Xenopus tropicalis: one gene and its partner. The protein of the gene in region 2 purifies or fractionates together with the protein of the main gene of each other region. This does not show direct contact. Links are inferred from orthologs where the notes say so. Each region holds a gene or a part of one and is shown on either strand. Other genes may lie near its edges.

Region 1 (5,033 bases), on a different chromosome or scaffold from region 2:
TAAGGGTAATTTCAAGGAAGTCTAATGTTACTCTATAACCTTATAACACCCAAATGCACTGTTTCTGCCAGCCAGCTCAATCTAGACAATTGTCTGCTAGATTTAATTTTTTTTCCTTGCTTCTTAATATGAGACATAGTTTCTTTTTTTTTTCCCAAAGAGAAATTTTACCGTGGCTGTTCAGTTTGGAGGTTGGTGATTAGAATGCTTATTTTTTCTTTTCTAGGCAACTGATCTATAACTACCCAGAGCAGTTGTTCGCAACTGCAGGCGTTATGGCAATTGAGCATGCAGACTTCGCTGGTGTCGAACGTTTAGCCCTTGTTACAGGTACTGAAGTTTTATCAATTATGTGCAGTTTATTAGTTGTACTGTTTGATGTTTTGGTATGTTACAACCTCATGTCTTCAATATTTCAGTGTGGTCTGTTTACTTAGAAAAGTGCTAATGTTAGATTTTTACAGATGCTGGCATTAATGTAATGAGTTAAAAGTAGCACCTTAGCTGAATGTTGGTTTTCTTATCAAATTAGAGGGAGACAGCCTGTTATATTCAGATAAGTTTAGCATTAGTTCTGCTTAATTTATCCCAGAAATACATCTTTAAAGTAGTTGATTTTAAACTTTGAAACAGCCCCTCTAGGGGCTTCTGGACCAGCAGCTGGTGGTAAGTTTTGAAAACAATACCTGCTTGGTCTCCTAGATCCTACTGGGTGAACAGTATATTTTTGGAGCTATGTCTAATACAGCAGTGTTTTCCTAGGTATCTGTAACTAAATGTTAGACCTCAAAGTGTGCTTTAAACAAAAGGTCTGAGAAAATTGTAAAGATTAGAGTTGCTCCCTAGTAGTCTGAGTCTTTAAGCCAGCGCTGCCATCAGGGGGGTACTCTGGTCAGTGGCAGCAGAGGTTTTGCAATAATGGGGCATGGTAAAGGCTCTGTTGTACTTGTTAACAGCGCCCATTGCCCAAGTGACCAGTGGCCTTATAATTTCTGTTCCCTGTACAGAAAAGCCTTGCTAACTTAACAGTATAATAGCCATAATAGCACTGAAGCTACAAACAACCATAATTATGTGTATATTGTGAATAAAATGCCAAGTGACATCTAGATTTTGACCACAAGGGGTCAGTGTTCGGCTAGACCATTTCTAATCTGTTTATGATATGGCAGAGATTATCATATATGGAAACAGTAGCCATTTGGTATCCTCTCATATAGGCAGTGGAAACCAACTCCCTTCCCCATCTCCCCATCATATTATTCAGAGAATAATACATATTTTAGGTAGCTTATATTTTAATCTTTTTGTTGCTTATTGGTTATAATAAAACTAGCATTCCTTTTTCTGAAAAACAAAACTGCATATATATTTATTGTCCCTTAAGGTGGTGAGATTGCTTCAACCTTTGATCATCCTGAGCTGGTTAAACTGGGTACCTGTAAGCTTATCGAGGAAGTAATGATTGGAGAGGATAAGCTCATTCATTTCTCTGGTGTTGCCATGGGTAAGCATCAAAGTGTGTTGTGCTTGCCATAACGATTAGTGGCAACAAAAAATATTTTTTTTTCACCGTTTGTTTTATCTCTCTTTGCAATTCTAAAATGTAGCCTTGCCTGCTTCTTTTATATGGAGGTTTGTAAGATTTATATTATGAGCACTTAAAAAAAGGAAATGTGCTTAGCAACATATATTTAAAAAAATTACATTATCTTAATCCTGTGCAACAGTTGTGATTCCAGCTCTTTCCCAAGCTGGAGAATCCTTAACCTTCAGGGCTCTGGCACACGGGGGAGATTAGTCGCCCGCGATTAACTCCCTGTTCGCGGGCGACTAATCTCCCCCGTGTGCCAGAGCCCTCATACATCCATGGTCTCCTTGTCAAACATAGCCAGCAAGTTAGAATGGCAACATATCGTTTTATCTTTCTCAGGTAACATTGTTAAATTATTGTGAAAGTGCAGGTTAGTCAGTTATCTGATCTGAGTTATCTCTTCCTGCAGCTGTGGTCACTTTTGTGCAAAGTGCTGGATTTCCTTATACGATATAATAAGTTAAAATCCACACACACATTGAGTTTTAGTTGGTGCTGGATCATTATTGCACATAATGTATTTTGTCTTTTGATGATGACAGGTGAGGCCTGCACTATTGTTCTTCGTGGTGCAACTCAGCAAATTTTGGATGAAGCCGAGAGATCCTTACATGATGCCCTCTGCGTACTTGCTCAGACTGTAAAAGATACAAGGACAGTTTATGGAGGAGGTATGTGCAAAAATGACTGACGTTAGCCTTGTTTATGATTGAGTGACTTCACTTTTGACGTTATTCTTGCTTTTGTAGGCTGCTCAGAAATGCTAATGGCTCATGCTGTGACAGAACTTGCAATCAGAACACCAGGTAAAGAGTCTGTCGCCATGGAATCTTTTGCAAAGGCACTACGCATGGTAAGTATAACGTATAATCTACATACCTATTATAATTCAGTTATTTTCTGATGCTAAGCTAGGCATTATGTAACCTGTATATTTTTCTTTCTTTAGCTACCAACCATTATTGCAGATAATGCAGGCTATGATAGTGCTGATCTAGTGTCTCAGCTCAGAGCAGCTCACAGTGAAGGGAAATCAACCTATGGCCTGGGTAAGAAACAAACCTTAGTAAAGAAGCCTGCTCTATGGCAAACCAAGAACCTAAAGGTGAAGGAAAGTAACAAACACCTGGTTGTTGTTGGGGGATTCTCCTTTTACACCAGGTTTGGTGCTCCTGTTTTAAAAACCCAAACTGGCCTGGTGTCGTTTCCTGCAGAACCAGTTAATTGCCCGTCCTGGTGGTTACTAACATTCTTCTTTAAGATTTGTAATGTGTTGAACTTGTTTTTTATTGTGTTTATTGCAGCATGGCACTCTATAGCAAAGTACCCTGTGCCAGAATGTGAGCAACTTTAGTCACTGAGGGGGTGCATAATAATTTGCCACTCATCTTCACTGTTTCTTACATTTCTTCCTAATGGTTATCATTCTTTCTATGCATTGTTACAAGTAAAAACATTTTACTGTATGTTTTCTCTTTTTTAAACCCTGAAAATTAAACCATGGCTTAATTTTTTTTGTTTTCCAGATATGAAAAATGGTACCATAGGTGAAATGGGAGAGCTGGGTATAACTGAAAGTTTCCAAGTAAAGAGACAAGTCTTGCTGAGTGCTTCTGAAGCCGCTGAAGTTATTTTGCGTGTTGATAACATCATCAAAGCTGCACCAAGGTAGCCTGGTTACTGCTATTTTATTACAAAAAACATGGAAAAGTATATTAATGATTTACAGTTTGTTTAACCTACTAAGATCTAATGAGGAGGTTTAGGGTTGATAATGCTGCTGTACTGCATTAAGAGTAAGTGGTTTCAGGACAGGGAATTCTGAGGAATGTAATCAGTCCTTCATTTGCATGTAATAAAAATACAGAATTGTGTGAGGACTTTTCAACAAAGGTACTGTCCATGAGTATAGGTTCTTAAAAGAATAGCTCTGTAAAAAATAAAACTGGGTAAAACAGGTAGATTGTGCAAAAGAAAAAATATTTTCAATATAGTAAGTTAGGCAAAAATGTAATATATGGTATGGTAGGGCAGATGTATAACATAATAGCCAGAACATTACTTCCTGCTTTCAGCTCTTTAAGCTGTTAGCAGTCAGTAACCAATCAGTGACTTGAGGGGGGAATATTGGATATAACTGTTCAGTCAAAAACTAACTGAATAGTTATGTCCCATATGCCCCTCACTGACTGACTAAGAGGTTAGAGAGCTGAATGCAGGAAGTAGTGTTCTGGCCATTATGTTAGACATCTGCCCACTCCAGCCTTTATAGATTATATTTTTGTCTAACTATATTACAAATATTTTTATTTTTCGCAGTCTATTTTACCCAGTTTCATTTTTACACTGAACTGTTCCTTTAAATTGTTATTCAGCGAATTGGAAAAAGGTGAAAACCCATGAATAAACCTACAAACACAAGGCACACATCACACCAATTATATATTTAAGGAGTACAAATCTTTATTAATTAAAATACAAAAAACTCTGCCTTAAAAATTCAAAGCTGTTGTACCACCTGCTTATATATTCTTCACTGGTAACGTGTTAACATTCATATTCATAAAGTTATAATAAACGGTTTTACCTGGGTACTTTAAAGTGCAAGTTAATAGTGCAGCATGGAAATAGTGCTTAACAAAATAAAATGTATGTCAGAAACAAACAATTTGACCAAAAGCAGGCTCATTCATTTTTATCAAGTAAATCATGCTGGACTATATACCATTCACTCCATAAGCAAAACATACTACACATACTATTCATAGGGTAACTTAGTGTCCAAACCTACTTGTATGTGAGCAATAATATAGATGGTGTGTTCCTTCTGAAACCTTTTAAGAAGCCTGTGGGCCCCTTCTCATAATATGCATTAGAAAGTGCACTGTTTATAGCACCAAAGTAATACCTGATCAGTAAAATAGGAGAAAATGATAAGCTTGTATATATATATAACTGATTGGACAACTATTGAAGCCTCATTTATATCCTATATCAAACATAAATAATCAGCCACTCCTGATACAAACGCGCTTTTGCAGTTCTTAGTTGATTTTTTATCTTAGCATTACACTTCCCTTGCTAGCCTTGCTAGATATGAGACCTAATGTTGCCCCCAAGGAAGAATCCTTAGCAATTATATATAATATAATCTAATAAGAAAAATGAGCAGCACTCAAATCTTGCAAATATAAATATATTAAAAATCAACACCACCATAGAGACATTTCGTGCAAGCTGCGTGCCCTTTATCAGGAAAAATGTTATAATCTACTAGAATGAGTAGCGAATGGAAGGGAAGGAATGTAGGCATTTGGTATTGATGTATGTGCTTCAAGTTTTGTTCTTTTTCTGCTTCTGGGCATTATTATTTATGCATGTAAGTTTCTTCTTTTTGTCTGTTATAGAAAACGTGTACCAGACCATCATCCTTGCTGAG
Region 2 (6,800 bases):
AGAAAAGGAAATATAGTTTGGAGAGTGGGACTATGGTGTAAGGTTCTGGTGGGTACCTGGCATTCCATTCCGACGCTGCGGAAACTTTAGGCTAGAAATTCCAGTTAATTTTATAAATATAATGCATGTGAAACCCCCATGGCAAAAAGCGGATATAAAAACACTAACACAATGTGAAGCCACAATGAGGATGATAGTGATAGTGACGCGGGTACAGTTACCAAACAAGTGGCAAAGTAATAGAAAGTGACAGACAGAGAAGAAAAAAAATGTGACTCACAACAATATGCTAAAGGCAAAGTTACTCATGCACACACATAGGGCTGGAAATTCTACTGCGGGATTGGTATAATCGGGGAAATAAAACTGACGAGCCAAAAAAAAACATATCAGGTATATATCAGACCCAGTTAAAGAGGCCTAAAGCTCTCAATCAGGCACAAACAGGAAGACTGTAGTTAGTATGGAATGCTGAACATTACACCTGGTGGTAAATGGTGACAAAAAGGCCTGGTGGTTACTGTGAAATATGCATTTTCCAATTAGGGCTACGTTATCTTATCGTCCTTTGTAAACTGTCCCTCTATACAATTCATATATTTATATAGGGTTTGACATTAATCAGGAACACTGTCTATATACTGCTGTAGGATGCTCTGCCCTATATAAAGGCATATGACTGTTATACTGTGCCCCACAGATATCAGCCCTGAACAGCTGATGGTGCAGCCCTTGCTTAGCCCCTCCCATTTATTGTGTTTCGCTACATTACTAGCACTGAATGAGAGGAGTGACAGAACTGAGCAGAAAAGCTTCAGGAGACTCTTCCTTGCATCAGTAACATAAAGAAGAAGGAAAGTTATAATTAATGGGGGTAGCCAAATGTTAAAGGTATGAACAGGGCTTTTTACATGTAAGCAGCAAGAAGCCATAAAGTGCCAACAGGCAACCAGGGTTGAGAGAGAGAAAGCAGGAAAATAGTAAGAAAGAAAAACTATAGGGAAAAGAGGACTTTAAATAGGAAAGAAAGAGAGAGAATGGCACACATAGAAAAAGAAGGGTAGAAGGGATACTGTAAACGCAAAGGGAAAAGGAAAAGGATACAGAGAAAAAAAGGGAGGAACGGGGGATGGGGTGGTCTGCTTCCTCTAGTTGTACAGTCTTCAGGCAGAAGACGCCGGTAGGGGGTGGGCAGAAGACATCGGCAGGGGGCGGGAAGTGGGCAGGTTGGGGGCCGGGTATGGATTGTTGTGCACCAGGCCCCTCTGAAGATTTTTTTGCAGGGGGACCCAGGGCACACTAGTTACGCCACTGAAAGAAAGAATAAAATAGGATATAGGGAGAGAAGGGGTAGTGCGGGATAAGAGGAGTGTCAGAATAAAAAGGATGAGGGGCAGATTAGGGGAGAAGGAAAAGTAGAACGGTTAAAAGAAGAGAAAGCGAGCAGAAAGGAAGGGATAAAAGGAAAAGAGAAGAGAGGGGAGGACACAAGTAAAGGAAAAAGGTGAATACAGGTATAGAGAGGGGAGAACAGGAGAGAGTGGGAGAAGAGAGGGAGAAATAATGGGGAAAGAAAAGTTAAAAAAAGAAGTAGAGATACCGTATATTACAAGTCACACTGGAGTTCCATCATCTGTATACCATGGCCTGATACCTACATGATCACACAACTATGTCTAATAACCATGTATTTACAAGTGGGGATAATTATTCCTTTTATACTGTATTAGGACCCACAGAGGAAGAATCAGAATAGACTTAGAACAAATCCAGTCATCAAAAAGAATATACAGAATACACCCTCAGCTCTACCCCATAGGAACATCTAATGGATTCCAGGGCATCCAGGCAAAGTCTCCACATCTCCCTCATCTCTCTTATCAACGCACAACAGCTAAAATGCGAAGGTAAAGAAAATATAAATCTATGTTCAAGCTGTGTCTGTTCTGATGGGTGAAGAAAAGGACAGATACAAGAAAGATAGACAGATAGACAGATGATAGGGAGATAGATAGATAGATAGATAGATAGATAGATAGATAGATAGATAGATGATAGATAGATAGATAGATAGATAGATAGATAGACAGACAGACAGACAGACAGACAGATAGATAGATAGATAATAGATAGATGATAGATAGATGATAGATAGATAGATAGATAGATAGATAGATAGATAGATAGATAGATAGATAGACAGACAGATAGATGATGATAGATAGATGATAGATAGATAGATAGATAGATAGATAGATAGATAGATAGATAGATAGATAGATAGATGATAGATAGACAGACAGACAGACAGATAGATAGATAGATAGATAGATAGATAGATAGATAGATAGATAGATAATAGATAGATAGATAGATAGATAGATGATAGATAGATGATAGATGATAGATAGATAGATAGATAGATAGATAGATAGATAGATAGACAGACAGATAGATGATGATAGATAGATGATGATAGATAGATAGATGATAGATAGATAGATAGATAGACAGATAGATGACTACACCCACTAGGCCATCTAATAAAGCAGAGGCCTAAGCTGCTGCAGAACCTTCTTGTGATGGGTGCATTTATAAGGAGCGCTAAGCCCTTGGTCACCCAATAATGATCCATGAAGCCAACCAGGGGAACAGTCTCTGAAGGGAACATGCAAGCACACGCTAGTCCATCTAATTTAGCATTAAATATATATCTGCCACCTCTAATTGCCCATAGATATTCATGTATCTCTAGCCATCCGTGACCGTGTGACTGGCCGAACTAGGAACCTTATGAATTGCAGCTGGAGCCATTTATATGTGGGTCGATTTACATGGGATGCAATTTTGCTGACCTGACTATTGTCGATCCACGTTAGAGCGCAGGCTCTCGGATCACTAATTAAACATTTATTGCCCTGAGATGCACCAAGCCAAAGGGTTTCATGACCGAGCGCTTTCACTGCTCTGCTGTTACACGGCTCCACCATTGTCAGCTCCTCACATACGATCCTCTCTGCTCATCAAGCTCAGGGCAGAGGGAACCACAAATAATGTGCCCCTTCCACCGACCCGACACTTTAACGCCTGGCTTTGCATTTATTTGTCTCAATAGACAGGCACTCTGCTGAGCAACCATTAACTCCCAGCAACCCCTGGAGGGGGGGGGGGGAGTTGTAATTTGGCTGTAGGGCGACAAATACCAGGGTTAAGGTTTTATAGATAAACCAAAATTTATTAAATATTAATTGACTGAATCTAAAAACTGACCAAATCAAAGAAAATCCCCATGATATTCAGTCTCACAGGATTTATTAGGAGGTTGGGTACCATTTCTGAAGTGAGTAGTTTATTGGTTAATTATCCCCTATGTCATTTAGATTTCCTCACTTGGCCACTCTGCAGTAAATAACCCCTTTCAGTGGGTCAGGGCAGGACCTGTTCCTAACTGCCCTAAGCCAATGCTGCTGGACTCTCCCATCTGCCCCCCCAATGCATGATACCCAACACAGTGGGAATTATAGACTGGCACACACGGGGGATACCATGACAAGACACAGTGTGGCTGGCACAATTGGAATCAAAGTGACAGAGAGGGGGCACAATATTCACAACACTGAGGGGGGGGGGGATATTTGGGGGGCTGGTACCTTCAGTCACATAGTTGTGATCCCGGAGAAAGCTGTGGTTAATTTTTCGCGTGTCCACGTCCTCGCCCATTGACAGCAGCGGCACTCAGCATGCCTGTCCCCAGCGGACTGATGAAATGAGCAGAGGTCGTTACAAGAGCGCCATCCATAGTGCTGCTGCCTAACGCGGGAAGGGAGCGCAGCCAGCCCCGGAGCGCACCATCCTGATACGGGGGGGGCACCGCTGCGCAAGCAATAGGGACCCGCCGGGCTGCTCCGATCGCTCACTGGGCACCGTCCTCCTCCCTTCCTGCTGGGGGATGCTCGCTTGGCTTCCAGGCGATCGCCCACTGCGGTAAAAAGCAGCCGTGAGACTGGGAGAGCAGTGTGCGACTTGCCTGCTTGCTGCTGTCATAGGCTTGTGCTGCTGCATCAGAACTCGCCCCTCCCAGGCACATTGATCTGGGCCAAGCGCACCAGTCACTGGCTGCATCAGGGGCTGCTACTGCTACTGCTACTGCTGCTACTACTGCTACCGGGGAGCATTACACTGCGGGGAAAAGGGGGCTCAGGGATGTGTGTTACTGGCCAAAGGTCTGCTTATGGGGCAGGACACCAAGGGCATTTGCACTGGTCCCTGGGGGGGTTGTTATTATTATTATTATTATTAACATTTATTTATAAAGCACCAACATATTCCGCAGCGCTGTACAGGGGCGGGCTATGCCTACCGGGCGCCCTAGGCAACCCGGTCGGCCACCTCGCCCCTGCACCTTCCTCATTCGCACCCCCCCTTTGACGCACATGCGCAGTTGAACGCGGGGGGTGGGGTTCGTGTTGCGATTTGATGGAGCATTGCCCCCTCTGCGTAAGGACAAGCGGCGGGGGCAATGACTAAAGAGCACGGACTAGGGGTAGGCAGGAGAGGCTTCATGGCGCCCCCCAATTGGTGCTCCCTAGGCAGCTGCCTCTTCTGCCTACCCCTGGCGCTGTACAATAAGTGGGTTACATATATTGGACATACAGAGTAACATATAAAGCAATCAATAACCGATACAAGAGGTCAGGGCGGGCCAAGCCAACAGGGCAACCTAGGCAACCTAGGCAACCCCGTCGGCCACCTCGCACCACTCCCCATGTGCTTTAGCGCACATGCGCAGTCGCGGGGGAGGTTCGTGATTCGATGACAAGCGGCGGGGGCAATGGCTAAAGAGAGCAGACTAGGGGTAGGTAGGAGAGGCTTCTGCCTGGCACCCCCTGATGGTTGCACCCTAGGCAGCTGCCTCTTCTGCCTACCCCTAGTTCCGGCCCTGCAAGAGGTGAAGATAAGGGTTGAACAATTGGCATATATTGTGTAACAGTCGCATACATATCGGAATTCTATCCCAAGGCACCCCTAACTGAAACCAACTCAAATATTTCGGGGGCCTCATTCTTGTTGAATTGCCAGGGATCTTTTTTTCTCTACAGGGTAGCATTATGGGAATTGTAGATTTTATTTAGGGGTACCATTATTAATATCAATAATGTGCATTTAATAAGTACCAACAGCAATGTACAATAAATGAGTGTATGCTTTAAACACACAATTCACATACAAAGAGTGGCCCATGCAGTAGGTAAAGACAGCCTTGATCCATAGAGCTTACAATCTAAAAGGAGGCAGAAAACACAAAGTGTGGGGGTATCCAGTGTCTAGGTTGCAATATACACTCAGCATTATGAATTTACAGTATTTATTACTATACAGAGGATAATGAGATTTCTGGAACTAATTTGTACCTAAAGTCGTGTGAGTGTGATCTTTTACTGTGACTGTCACTACACACAACTAAGTGTCACACATTATACTTGTTGTGGGAAATACTGGGAGTTGTAGCACAACAACAGCAGGAGGACATTTCAGCTCTGTGTAAACATACATTTTTATTAAATCTTCTCCAGAACAGCCTAAAAAAAAAGTGTAGCTGCACCATCTGTTGGGTACAAGTGATGTGTATCGGCATGTGTGAACTAGCTCTTTTGGTTTGTACAGGGCTTAGACATGTTAGTGGGGATACAAGGCAGCAGAAATGCCACCTATACCCAATTGCAAGGTTAGAAGTGCAAAGCTGGCTGGTGAATGTGGTCTTTTTGTCCCCTTTAAAATTTGTTTTTAATCTTTCCACTAGATGGCAATGTGCAAAATGGCATAAATACACAAGCCTTATTAGCAAGGGTCAGAAGGGGGGGAGCGGGTTGGTGCTGAAATGTTGCTGTGATGGCTAATTTGATAAATGGAAATGAGAATTGGTGCTCTTCTAGTGTCGCGTTCGTATTTAGGACTGATGGGAGGTGAGCCATGAGGAACGGGCACCTCAAAAGGATCTTAAAGAGGTGGAGCTTAATACTACTACTACACCATACTGCACAAGATTTGAAAATCAGAAGGAGGGAAATGGTTAACTGCTGCGCCTCTTCTCCAGCATAAACAACCCCAGTTTGGCCAGTCTCTCTTCATAACTGAGCCTTTCCATGCCCTTTACCAACTTAGGTGCCCTTGTCTGGACCGTCTCTAAATCAATAATATCCCGTTTGAGCACTGGAGACCAAAACTGCACAGCATATTCTAGATGGGGCCTTACCAGCACTCTGTAAAGGGGAAGAATAACCCCCTCCTCCCGTGAATCTATACCCCTTTTAATACAGCTCAAAACCTTGTTTGCCCTTGCAGCTGCTGACTGGCATTGCTTTGTACAACAAAGTTTATTATCTACATTATAGCTTTTATGGTCTACATTATAGACCATTATAGACCATAAAAATGCTCTCCATTAACCCCAGACATGCCAGTAAGATTGCTGCAGAAATGACCAATGATGGCTCCATTAACCCCAGACATGCCAGTATGATCACTGCAGAAATCGATAGATAGAAAGCATTACCTACACTTGCACAAGCAGAATACCACAAACTTGTTGTTGTTTCTCTCTGCCTCCCTTTGCCCAGCTGAAACTCATGGCCCTGCTTTGTGCACTTTTACCCCCATATGTAATAAAAGGCACAAAGTTTGCCCAGTAGCAGTAACTCATAGCAACCAATAAGATGTTTGCTTTCGAACAGGTGACCAGTAAATTCTACCTGCTGATCAGGCCTGGATTTGCGGGCAGGCCACAAAGGCCCGGCCCCAGG

Evidence for each region. The genes of interacting proteins can lie anywhere in the genome.
Region 1: the proteins of ppp2r2c (region 2) and cct2 purify together in Homo sapiens (affinity purification with mass spectrometry; 4 studies listed by BioGRID and IntAct, counting the BioPlex papers as one, with this or other methods). This does not show direct contact. The link is inferred for Xenopus tropicalis from reciprocal best matches to the Homo sapiens genes PPP2R2C and CCT2.

The regions. Positions count from the first base shown.
Region 1 is NC_030679.2:59,115,643-59,120,675, forward strand, and holds part of cct2 (T-complex protein 1 subunit beta), read left to right. Parts: intron 1-226; coding exon 227-330; intron 331-1,387; coding exon 1,388-1,507; intron 1,508-2,136; coding exon 2,137-2,265; intron 2,266-2,343; coding exon 2,344-2,447; intron 2,448-2,543; coding exon 2,544-2,643; intron 2,644-3,120; coding exon 3,121-3,262; intron 3,263-4,032; exon of another isoform or gene 4,033-5,001; coding exon 5,002-5,032; 3' UTR 5,033-5,033. UniProt on the Homo sapiens protein: Component of the chaperonin-containing T-complex (TRiC), a molecular chaperone complex that assists the folding of actin, tubulin and other proteins upon ATP hydrolysis.
Region 2 is NC_030677.2:25,386,526-25,393,325, reverse strand, and holds the start of ppp2r2c (protein phosphatase 2, regulatory subunit B, gamma), read right to left. Parts: upstream 4,067-6,800; 5' UTR 3,721-4,066; coding exon 3,651-3,720; intron 1-3,650. UniProt on the Homo sapiens protein: The B regulatory subunit might modulate substrate selectivity and catalytic activity, and might also direct the localization of the catalytic enzyme to a particular subcellular compartment.